2 linked regions of the Neodiprion lecontei genome follow. The protein of the gene in region 2 interacts with the protein of the main gene of each other region in a biochemical or structural test. Links are inferred from orthologs where the notes say so. Each region holds a gene or a part of one and is shown on either strand. Other genes may lie near its edges.

The links.
Region 1: of the proteins of mitogen-activated protein kinase kinase kinase 7 (region 2) and TGF-beta-activated kinase 1 and MAP3K7-binding protein 1, one has a biochemical effect on the other in vitro, tested with the Homo sapiens proteins (4 studies listed by BioGRID and IntAct). The link is inferred for Neodiprion lecontei from reciprocal best matches to the Homo sapiens genes MAP3K7 and TAB1.

Annotation. Positions count from the first base shown.
Region 1 is NC_060262.1:385,363-391,817, reverse strand, and holds TGF-beta-activated kinase 1 and MAP3K7-binding protein 1, read left to right. Parts: upstream 1-3,055; 5' UTR 3,056-3,168; coding exon 3,169-3,259; intron 3,260-3,409; coding exon 3,410-3,647; intron 3,648-3,720; coding exon 3,721-3,853; intron 3,854-3,947; coding exon 3,948-4,188; intron 4,189-4,320; coding exon 4,321-4,577; intron 4,578-4,656; coding exon 4,657-5,118; 3' UTR 5,119-5,421; downstream 5,422-6,455. Other genes in the region: 4-hydroxybutyrate coenzyme A transferase, read right to left, coding at 6,268-6,452. UniProt on the Homo sapiens protein: Key adapter protein that plays an essential role in JNK and NF-kappa-B activation and proinflammatory cytokines production in response to stimulation with TLRs and cytokines.
Region 2 is NC_060260.1:31,604,108-31,610,570, forward strand, and holds the start of mitogen-activated protein kinase kinase kinase 7, read left to right. Parts: upstream 1-2,338; 5' UTR 2,339-2,475; coding exon 2,476-2,553; exon of another isoform or gene 2,554-2,572; intron 2,573-3,139; coding exon 3,140-3,365; intron 3,366-3,904; coding exon 3,905-4,022; intron 4,023-4,153; coding exon 4,154-4,483; intron 4,484-4,715; coding exon 4,716-4,828; intron 4,829-5,039; coding exon 5,040-5,446; intron 5,447-5,520; coding exon 5,521-5,620; intron 5,621-6,463. Other genes in the region: brefeldin A-inhibited guanine nucleotide-exchange protein 3, read right to left, coding at 133-262, 345-510, 642-776, 1,743-1,876, 1,946-2,030. UniProt on the Homo sapiens protein: Serine/threonine kinase which acts as an essential component of the MAP kinase signal transduction pathway. Plays an important role in the cascades of cellular responses evoked by changes in the environment.

The DNA.
Region 1 (6,455 bases), on a different chromosome or scaffold from region 2:
GTGGAAAAGATTTGATCTTATTATTCGCTGCAGGTTCGAATGTGCAGCATCGCATTCAGCACGGTGATGATGCTGGCGCAGCACGCGTACAAAGACATCACGATAGAGCACGTGAAACACACCGAGGCTTACTTCCGGGGGTTGAAACAGGCCGACGGATATCCGCAGAACATTGGCCAACTGATGCAGGTAATCGCGAACCTAAAACGATCGGGTAAAATCGTGACGCCACCGCCGGATCAGGAAGACTCCGACGACCTCGAGGATGACCCCGACGACATTCAGATCTCCGACATAATCAATTGATTCGTTAATTTCGCACGAATTTCACCGCGCGCACGTGCGATCGTGCGTGTGATTACACTTCTTAGTCACGCTTTTGTTTTGCGACAGTCGTGTTTTTTTAACCAAAAAAATTTTGAATTAAAAATTAATAAATTACGGGTGGAATAAGCACTGCGCGTAAATATTTTTCTACGAAAATGTGAAGATCCATTCAACGACACCGTAAATCGTACTTGCCTGCATCGTCACGCGTCCCCGTTATCGTCCGAACGATGCGTTCGGGCAGAGGATCAAGAACATCGCAATCCTCGGCGACTGGGAATTCCGCATCGGACGGTTCTAAAAATGGTCGATCAAATCGGACGAGGAGCGGAACCGGGTCGAATTCGACCCTTGAAAAAACGGAGTGAGTTGATATTTTTCTTCGGATTAAGGCATGCGTGTGCCGCGTGTAAACCGTGCGTAATATCCCTGCTAATTTCGACTCTACGCAGCGCCGCGAAGAAACCGGGTAGAGAAAAAAACAAGGACATCGTCGACATCCAGCCGCTCATCTACTCCTTCAGAGTTCCGAGCAAACCGTCCCCCGGATCCGTGATGAACGGCCATCTGCCACCTTACTGGCTTTACCACGACCACGCGTTTGGCGTTATCTGGATGCTTTTTCACCCGGACAAAAAATACATCGGTAAATAAGAATCTTCGGTGGAATTATGACGGAGAAGATCCTGCGGTGCATAGTAAGATGTTATTAACCGAATTGCCGCTCGGTCCCAGGCATAGCTCAGCTCCATTGGTGTCTGAGGTTTCTACTGGACTTGAAGAACACCGAGGGCGAGTACACGGGCGACGTGAACGTCTGCATCCAGGCGGTCCAGGACGACCTTATCGAGCAGTACGCGAAACTCGGCGAAGCGTTGGAAAATGAAGAGGCGTCGAAGAGCGGCGCGAGGGAAACTTCGAGGATTTCGAAGGACGGCGAAGACGACGAGGGACCGGAAAAGGAGCACGGAAACGTGGGAAATTATCCACAGTGGGGGGGAAAGAGAGTGCGTGATAAGAAATTAAAAACTGTACAATATTCTGTCGTCATTCGCTACAGGAATCGTCATCGCCCTCCGTTCGACCGCGAGAAGATAATAATAGGAACGTCGAGTCCGGCGGTAGTTCTCCATCGGTCGAGAAGGGCGGTAATGTCAGTCTGACCTACAACGAGATGATGTCCCGAGGGCCGACTCCGTACACGGAGCAAACCCCGTTAGAGCAGATATACAGAGCCGGAGTGCCGGTGACGATCCCCGACGACGCGGTCGCCTCGACGCCCGATATCACGACACTCCTGACCCCGGACAACTCACCACCGGGTATTGTTTCAAGGGAATGAACCAGGCGTGTGTTCTAGCATGGATATACTTATATCCTGGTGAAAATAATTCTATTAATTTCCGTGAAAATATCTACGAAGTTTTACGCAAATTTCTATGCAAAAGTACAGGATTTGGGTCGATCCATAGTTTTTGAACTCGAGATATCGTAACGATTCGTACAGTTTTTCGTAGATTATTATTATTAAGAAAAACTACGAATTCACCCAAATCCTGTACCTTTGCATAGAAATTGCCGTAAAACTTCGTAGATATTTCCATAGAAATTCGTAGAATTATTTGTACCAGGGGTTTTTTCACCAGGGTTCCTGGTTTAACAGAATAACAAATTAGCTAGTTTTTCCGTAAGACTCACCTATTGAGATAAGGTGAGTTGAAAAATATACGGCAGATGCTCTAAATCCGTCTAGATCATACTCACGATAAGAGAATGAGAAGATCGGTCTTCGGAGGTAGACCCGAATTTATCTTTATTTTCAAAAAGATGATAAACTCAGCTGCCTCCTTATCGAACATTTTCAGACGTACCTTTAACCGACATGGGTACCGAGGAATTGGTCAATTTTTTGAACGTCTCTCGCATGGAGCAGGTCCAGAGGATCAAGAAAGATATAGAACGGTTACACGATTTGGAAAAGTGAGAAATTTTGATTACACGGTGGTAAATGTGGATGAATCGGATACACCGGATGCAGCATCGGAATACAAGAGTAATGATACCGACGTCGGGTTCCAGGTTCCTGGAAGGGGTTGACAAACAGGGGTTCAAAGGATTGATCAAAGGCGACCTCGCGCGTCGCCTGGACAAGTTGGACGGCGTTGACGTCATCGGGGAAGTTGAAACCATGCTCAAATGACTAAAATCGAATTACCCGTAGCGTGACAGTTACAACTGGCTTCGATGAAACTGTCAGTAAATGTCTAGTCAACGCGCATGCAGTCCGTGGAAAATTTCTGATCAATGTATTTCGTTCGAATTGTAAGCGAAACTTCAGAATCGTTGAGATGGAAATAACTACGTACCGCGGGCTTCGACATAAAAAGTCATCTCTGCACCTACAGATAGACAACCGGAGTTGCAATTTGCCATCTCACCGAGCTGATTTTTCCAGGTTTAGGTCCGGTATCACAGATATGCCGTTTTAGCTGCGAGTTGCGAAGTAAAAGACAGAATTATCGTACATTCAATACTACTGATAAATTGTAACGTATAAAACAATATAGCTGCACATCATTTGAAACGTACCGATTCTCTCGACCCACGATCACGTTCATTATCGTTACTTTTTTCTTTCATTTGATCCGATCGCTCGATAAGCTGCGTGCGCAATCTGTGTTTGATCGAGTGATTTTCATTCGCTGGCAGAATTCGCCCACCTGACTCATCTCGAAAGGCATGCAATGCATAGTTCATAATGCTATCGTAATGGGAAATGGAGGTACGCGTCAATCTCCGTGGGTAGGAAACGCGTAGTGATTGTAGAATAAAATTGTCGAGATGCCGACCAGAGCAGAGAGGCCTAATTTGCTAACGTATCAAGACGCCCAGCATAGTTGGACCGACGACTTGCCCGTTTGCAAACAGTCAGGTAGACGATTGACAATTCCAACAAGTCCTAACCTAGTCTAGCCTAACTGAAGACTACTCAAAAATAACAGAAGTCCAAAATGTTTGATGAAAAACGCTCGAATCAATTTCTAATTGAAAATGGGTGAAAATTTTGATGGCGATTCCATAGGTGTGGGGTTTTCAACGAATCAAATATATAGGGAGGATGGTGGCCGGCAGGAGGATCATCCGTTCGAAGACCGTAGTTTTCACTGTCGGTACGACGACTCGACTTTTTTATACGGAGTTTTCGATGGACACGAGGGAACGAAGGCGGCTACTTTCGCGCTTCAGCGTATGGCAGCTGAAATTCTCTTAGGACAGCTCAGTGGCAAATCGACCGACGAGGAAGTTAAAGAAGTATTAAGGTAAGTAATTTCCTATATTCTTGGAAAGGTAAATCAAACCTAGGACTAATATTGTCGTCGCTTCTTTTCTCAGGCAAGCTTTCATTACCGTGGAACGTGGATATCTAGACTCTATTGGAGATATTCTGGCAGAACGGGCTAGTCTGCAATTCGACATACCGGATGGGCTGAATTCGTATGAAACTTACCAAAAATTTCCATACTTGGTACTTGTTTTTTTGTTTTACGACATATGAAACAAACGTTGTAATAAATCTACTGTGATCGTGTGTAACAATTGTTATTTTTCTTTCTTTTTAGGTGGACAAGTTGAGTTCTTTGAACAGCGAATTGTCGGCTGGAACAAGCGCGGTGGTAGCCTTAGTTTACGGCGGACGCTTATACGTAGCAAACGTCGGAGACAGTAGAGCATTACTCTGCAGAACTGACAGCAATCAGGTCTTGAGAGTCGTGCAATTAAGTGTAGATCACGATCTGAGGAACGAGGATGAGCTGTTGAGGCTGTCTCAGCTTGGATTGGACATTGACTCTGTTAAACAAGGTCTCTATAACAATAAGTTACCGTAATAGGGCGAAATGAGTACAAAACAAGACAATTTAGAGAATCCCCACCCCCCAAATATTTTTCTTTGACACATCAGCTTGCGCTGTAACCGTAACTGTGCTTCTCTAGGTTCACACCTTGGAAACCAGGAAAACACGAGATGCCTTGGCAATTACCTAGTCAAAGGGGGATACAGGGAATTTGAGGAATTGGCATCGGCGAGCACAGAGCCAATAATAGCAGAGCCGGAGATACACGGTGGTATAGAACTCGACGATTCGTGTAGATTTTTGCTACTCATGTCGAGAGGTCTCTACAAATCGCTGGAGGAAGCGACCGGAACTGATCAGGTCAACAAAGAGTTGGCCCAAATGGCCGTCGAACAGGTACGTTTATGAACAACGGGAAGATGTTTGTTCGAGTCTGGTCAAGCGAAAGTGATTCACGAGTACTTTTTGTCTCCAGTTTAGGGTACAGTCGACATTGACGGGAGTGGCGCAGGCAGTAGTGGATAAAATAGTGAGGATACATCATGACGTCAACATGAGCAATTCCCAGAATACATTGACTACTGGAAAAAGAGACGACATAACATTGTTAGTGAGAAACTTTAACTTTCCTTTGCCCAACGTCCTAAAAAGCCCTACTATTCAGTCGGTGAGGTTTAATCCCGACGTGCAAACTGTGCCCGTACCATCGCGAATGGACAATGACTACTATTCGAGCAGCGGAACAAATACGTCCGATCAACAAAACTGTGATACATCAACGACTGAAACTTCGACCACTTCAGACATGTACCCACCGGGTGGAAAGCCTGTGAACAGAGATACTAAAATCAAACCGTACGTCGACTTTTCAGAGTATTTCAAAACTGTTGAGAAGAGACGCGAGGAGGGAACCTTGCCAGAGGGTATCAATTTTTAAGCACGACTACGAGTGTGTCGTTGTCTATTTGATTTTTTTTTCATTAGTCATTACCTAGATCTCAACTCGCCTATTGTTACGATTATTATTATTGATTCTTTGTAGGGATGCACTGTAAGATATTTGTAATATTATGACTTTGTGTTAGTAAATTAAGTTTTTCGTGATAACTGGGCCATTACTATCCCTTAATATCGTTGATCAATTTGCTGCAACAAACGGACAATGCAGTCTTGATCACATAGCATTCATTAATCACATATCGGTAAAATGTCATCTCGTTATTAAAAATGATGGAAACGATATGATAAAAAAAAATATATATATATATATTTCTTTATAAATTATTTATAAACGATTGCTATACTATTCGGAAAATTTAGATTTGAACAGTTATTTTCCCATCCCAATCATTCGTCACAATTTTCGAAATCGCTTTATTAATGTTCTAATTGAGCTGAACTGTTTGTCGCAAGGCAAAATTTTATTTTATTATGTACATTTTTTTAATACAACCATCGCCCAATCGGACAGTTAAAGAGTAGTTTGCTGGTTTGTTTTCTCCCTCACTGTAGGATCAAGATGATTTCAGGATCGAGTTTGCGACAACCGTGAGACTAAAAGGCTAAGTTCCTGTTGGTATTAGTTTATTACCCGTGTATACGATTACTATACACAGTGACATTTAAATAGTTTTTTTTCTTCTATCGTCATTATCAATCCATAGATAACTGCACCCACGTACGGCGTTAAAAGTAAAATGGTAAACGAGGTCTAGAATCTCATCGCGACTGACACGCAGTACGTTTCTGGTTTAGTCGACGATCCAATATCTCCAAGTTTCTTCCATGTAAAGATCGGAATACCTGGAGTTTTGTTTTTGATTGTAACATTCAATGTCTGGATCGGCTGCTCTCTTATTCACGACGATTAAAATCGTTAAGGAAATACATTTTGGCGCATTATAGCAGAGTTATACCAGCAAGAGTTCAGCTAGGGATAACGTGATTTGTTTTAAAAAAATATAATCACTGTTCCTTCGTATTTGCATCACGTCTGGCGTATAAACCTTACTATCTTTCAAAGGAACAAGTATCATAATTTTTAGGTATTATTTTAGGCTGTCAGAGTGTATCGGTGCGTCTGGACTTAGGGACAAGGCATGCACTTCAAACGTTCAAACGCCGACTTTTCCAAAGATTCCCGATGATCGGGATGTGCAATATTTATCAGCGCATGCGCTCTCTGTCGCAGCGTTTTACCAAACAAGCTTGCTATTCCATGTTCAGTGACAACGTAACGAACATGAGCTCTTGTAGTAACCACGCCAGCTCCTA
Region 2 (6,463 bases):
TTAACTTTGCAGTAATAAGTGCACATTTTAATACTGCGGTGACATTGTTCGAAGAATATTAAAATGAATTTTTTTTTTTCTACAGAAGTTCAACTGTAAATGTTTCGTTTGATTTTTTTCAGCAATACTTACGTTTGAGCTTCATCTAATTTGCTACAGATATATTGTAGTATAGGTATCGCCTCATTAAAACAAGATACCCCTCTTTCATGAATATTCTTATTCTTCTTGGCATTCTCGTCCATTTCTTGACATTCTTCATCTGTAATAAAAATATTTAGTAGTCAAAATTTGTGGTGTATACTAAACTACATCCTAAGCAATTAAATATCTGTTCATATTGCCTAGAAATAAGCAGAAGGATCGAAGAGTTTGGCTGGTAGCTGCCTGTGCCGCAGTTCTAACTGCTTGGTTTCCATTTTCAAAGGCCTCGCTACAAGTTGTTAGTACAGCAATAATGAGACGACCATTCATTGTCCAATATGAAGAACATGCAACTTGCAGTAGCACCTAGGAAAAATTTTACGAATAACATCAATAATAATATTAATGATTTGATTGGTTTAAAATGAATCACAGGTAAAAACAGCCTAGACTGTATTTGCTCTTCATTTCTGTTTTCAATTTTACAACTAACTTACTTTTAGCATGTCTGTCTGTGCATCGTCTGACTGGGATAATATGGAACTCATAGTATGGAGCATTTGAGCTGGAAGCCACAAGGAATCATCCTCCGGCTCATAAGGAGACTGAAATCTATCGTCCCTCAGCATTTTCTGCCATAAGACATAAATGAACATTAATTGCATATAACCACTTATATCTATAAGAAATTATTCTATTCAATTTCAATTAGAAACAAAATGTTTGTTCGAATAATCCTGAAAAAATAACTCATTGAAGCGAATAAGTATAAATTATCTTAGAAACATTTAATGTCAAATTTAACACTATATATTAGTCGATTAAAAAAACGACATGAGCAAATAAGTGAAACATAAGCAGAGTGCTTGATATGTCAGTAAAAATATGTTATATATTGTGTAATCAGTGTCGAAACCGTGACCAAAAAACTTAGAGCTTCTCCCATTGCAATAAAAATCATTTGGCATGAGCTTCAAATTTGCAGAATATATTCAAAACGCTGTCATAACAGGAGAAAGAGACTGAAATCAAAAAAAATAGTTTCCTATTTCTTATTGATCAACTTTCACTGCATAACAGGTCTGAAATTGCAAGGAGACATGTAAAAACAATCAATTGGTAAGCAAAAACTACTGTCTGAATATCGATTGGTAACTTGCTAAATAACACAGCTCTGAATGAGTTTCTAAATCTAGTCAAGCTGCTCAAAGTATTTTACAAAAAATCATGAATTCTGAAAACAAAAATTTGTGGCACAATGATCTAATTTTAACATTAATTATATTCTTGGAACAATTTTTTTCAGTTAAAGTATAGTTTCACTTCGAAATATAATTTAAATATTTTTATACAGTTATCGTCGAAACAGTAATTAGTAGAAAAAATCAGTCAGCGTCAGAAATGTGAATGAGTGCTAGCTGTGTAGCATAGTGAGTATCATATGGTGAAAGCACTATCAGTAATTGTACCACCCAGGATGTGGTTATTGCAAATACGAGGGTGTTACACAGTGAGAGTGAGGCAATGTACGAGCGATAAGGAAAGCTGGCGAAATAAAGCGAACAGCTGTGAATATCGGGATCATTAGAATGCATTACATGTAGGCCAGCAAGACCAAAGGCGACAAATTTGCTTCTCCTTGTTTCGAGAGCGAGCTGACAGGTGTGGAGGCATTTCGCCCGCAGTTCGTGCGGGGGATCCCGCAATAGACCTTGCTGCTTGTCCAGGAAATCTGTGGGAGAAAATAAGTGAGTGAAGAATCAAAAAATGGATAAGATAAGATGTTCAATGTTTAGCTCACCATGTGCCTCTTGCGCCGATTTACGTATGTTTGGTAATTTCGCGTGCGAAGCCTCCTTGACGATCTGCAGCAGGAGGTCCTCCATGACAGAACCATGCAACAAATCGATAAAGCGAGTACAGAACCCGGAGACGAGATAAAAATGTCCTACGAGTCCAGAATAAACTCGGAACAACGCGGCGTAGTCATTTCGATATGAGAATTATATTATTTACTTAAAATCTTGTCTAATAATTGATTATATTCGACAACTATCGCGAGTGTTCTGCTTTTGATATTTCTCAAATTTTCCGCTGCACGCTCGTCCACTCAGCAGCGCCGCTGCGATCGCCATTGCAGGTTTGATATCTTTGACCAATTGTATTACAGAACGCCCACTTCGTCTCAAAACAACGCAAACACGTCGGTAGAAAGACGAAAAATGGCAAATGGCGAAACAATTTGAATGCCAGTTCAAATAAATATTTGTGAAAAATTTGCGTTAGCTGGGTAAATGCGGCCTGAAAATAATGTGATGCGGACGGTATGTGATGGCGAGCAAGGAAGGAACTGGCCATCAGCAACAGTTTGTTGAAGAAATTAACTACAATGAAATTGAAACACAGGAGGTAATCTTGTGATATCTGTGTAAGAAAATCGCACATTTTCATTATGTTTACCCTCACCAAATTGTCATTTTGTAGCAAATAACTTACCCTTAAATAAATAGCACTCGTAAAATTCCATATCGTATCAATGAACCTCGTATAAAAATCTATTGCGAAAACATAACCTCACAACATCTTCGTCTCCAAAACATTTTGGTCTCTATAAACATACATGAATATTTTTTTCACTCAATTATTTATCTCGATCAATCAACTGAGTCCTGACTGTTAATATGTCCATCCACTTTCGGGCTGTTGCTCACCGTTATTCATCAGTAAACATTATTATTGACGTGCATAGAACTCGCGTTTGTAAAAGAGAGTGAATTGATTTATACAATATCAACGAACAAGCTTTATAGATCAGCTAACGTTAGTTAAAATTAAAACATTTATTTACAAAGAGATATCAGCCATTGCTGTGTAATCAAATTCATCTAATCAGCTTTGATACGCGCCTCATGATTTGTTTAGACATTTTATGTCAGCGATCCAACTTCCTTTAACTAATACAGTAAAGTAAAAAAGTAATTGTTTCTGATAACAGATTGTTGGGAAAGGCTCCTTTGGAGTTGTCTGGAAAGGACGATGGAGAGGTCAGTATGTGGCGGTGAAACACATAAACTCTGAGGGAGAGAGGAAGGCATTCACCGTCGAAGTGCGCCAGCTATCCAGAGTAGCACATCCTAATATTGTTAAACTCTATGGTGCATGTACAAAAAATCCAGTTTGTTTAGTTATGGAGTATGCTGAGGGTGGCTCTTTATATAATGGCAAGTAATTGAAAATTTATAGTACACTAGTGTTAATTCAAACTAACATCCAGCTAATGATTTGTGAAATATACACATATCCAAAAAATGACCATGCATCCTAAAAAATGATTTACTTTGTAAATGATAAGTATTATTTCAGAAGTATCACATCATGGTATTTCTTTATTTAATCAATTGCGAATAGAGTTGCTTGAAATAATTTTGGTTGTTGAGTACAACCCAGTATGTTTAAACAAATGTAGTGGTTTTACTTGATACCTTATCTATGAAATAGGAGTAATGCAGTGCCTGAATATAAAACACCAATGATCTGCAAAATACAGCATACATTACTGAGTTTTCAAATTTCACTTTAAGGCTGCTCTGTCCCATCATTCTAATAATTATACGTGAATGATACTTTCTCTGCTTTATTCTTCCATTTACATTCGAGCTGTGTACGTATCTTTTGAGAATTGATACTTTTTCTGCTTTTTTAAAAAAAATTTCTTTACAATACACACATATTTTATAACTATAATGTGTTAATGTTACAGTGTTGCATTGTAATCCACAACCTTACTACACAGCAGGCCATGCAATGAGTTGGGCACTCCAGTGTGCTCGTGGGGTTGCTTATCTTCACAACATGAAGCCAAAACCATTAATTCACAGGTTGGTCAAATATTTAATCATTACATAGCTATGCACATGTTGTTGTGTTTCTAAGAGCCACTCACTTTCAAACATGGACATAATTGAAATTCTATCAGACACTATAACCTTGACTATTGGAAACTTTACAGAGATTTGAAGCCTCCTAATCTTCTTCTCATCCTGGGTGGTCAGACTCTGAAAATCTGTGATTTTGGAACAGCCTGCGATCTGAATACTTACATGACCAATAACAAAGGCTCTGCTGCTTGGATGGCGCCTGAAGTCTTTGAAGGATCGCGGTATACAGAAAAATGTGACGTGTTTAGCTGGGGCGTTATTTTGTGGGAGATTTTATCTCGTAGAAAGCCATTCGACGACATTGGTGGTTCTGCATACAGAATTATGTGGGCTGTGCATATTGGGCAGAGGCCTCCGTTGATGGATGGTTGTCCTAAACCGATAGAAGACCTTATGACCCGGTGAGTAAATATTAATTTGTTACAGCATCTTCCTATTTACACTAAGAAAAAATCTTCGAACACAGTTCAATATCTTATGGTACTTTATGGTACTGTCCAGTCATAAATCCACTTGACATGAACGTGTGTGTTTGATGTAGAGTTCGACTGTTACTCATTATGCCAAAATTTAATCTGTAATTCCTATTTTTCTCTATATTAACTTTCTCTCATTTTTATTTGTTGCTTTTAGGTGTTGGAAAAAAGTTCCAGAAGAGAGACCGTCAATGGATGAAGTTGTTCAAATTATGACCACTCTTTCAGAGTTCTTCAACGGTCAATTGGATCCTGTTGAATATTCTTTAAGTATGTTATAAACCTCCATAGACACTTCTTAAACTAAGATTATCAAAAACGAAAAAAGATGATAAGAACGCACTATGAAAAAATTACGTCTTATGAGGGTTTTTTAGTAGAGAAAACAAATCATTATTATAGTAAATGCTATTTCATACAAAATACAAAATCCAAGTAACCTGTACAGTAAAGAATTTTGCATTTTCATGGTAATTTTCAGGCAGTGAAATGGATGAGGAAGATGGTGCTGATGACACATTGGATATGCCGAGTACCTTAAACTCACAAATCAATGGTTCTGTAAGCAATGGTACAAATCAGACACCAACGCCAACAGACAATCAAGTTATGTCTGACATTCAATTTACACAACCAGAAACCAGCTCGTCACAGTCTCAGGTACCGCAGACTGAATGTAACACAGGGTACCTCACACCTAGGCTGAACCAAGCTGGAACACAGTTCCTTGGACTTCAGAATAATTCTAAGCCCAACTCACAAACTGGCGGTAAAACAGATCTCACGCCACAAAGACCTCCTAGAGGTATACCTGTGACTCAACGAACCAGACTATCACCATCAGTTTTAAACGACTATACTTCGCCGATACAGATAGAGTGTAATCCAGTAAGTAGTCGCGATATGTGGGTTTACTTGTCAAATTTGTTGATTCTTATTTATTTTATGATGCCCATTTTCAGAATTCTTGGGATTTAACCACATCCGATGACTCTTCATGGGAGATACGTAACATGGCGGGATTGGACAAAATGGTTCCAAAGACACATAAAACTCCTCAAGGTAAGAAGTTCAGAATTTTTTTACGATTCTACATTTATTTCATTTGAAATCATATGAGTTTGGCAAATATCGTATTTCATATTTACTAGAGTGAGCTTCTGAACTTGACCCACTTTGTTTTATCCATTGAATTTTCGTCAAATGCCTAAGTTAAATCAGTTAGCAGCAAAAGATACCTTATTATTCTGAAGATACATGCATCGTTTTGATTTCGATGTAACAACAAAAACTCATGTACGATTTATACAAAGGTATACATTCAAAGGTATACTTGGAAAATAATATAGTAGAATAAGAAATTAGCTCATATTCAAAGTTAGAGTGATATCACAGAGCTGGTAGTCAGTCACTTTTTTTAAAGGAGTCACGTTTTTCCAGAAATGGTCTCTGAAGTCACTTTTTCGGTCGTAATTAAGTTTCGTGCATGAACAATTTCGTTCCAACATTTTGATCTCACGCAATATCCACTAGATAAGCCGAATTATTATGAACAATTGCCCGAAACAATAATAATTATTTATTAGCTACTGATTCCATGCCATATATTCCATCAATACATTAATTATAAAGCACTAAAAAATAATTGTTTATTGAATAATGAGAAAATTCGATACAAAAGTGTATATCGATTTAAATTATAGAATGAAGAATCTTTTCCTAAATCACCTAAAGTTAGATTTCTCACATTGACATTAAGATAAACTGAATTTGCGTCATTTAAAATGTACCTTAAATACCAAACGCCAAAATCCTAGAATACCCAGATACCATAATATATTGTGAATCATAAACAGTTTTTTTAAATCCAATAACTGCACAAATTTTTTATCTTTGATCTCTTTA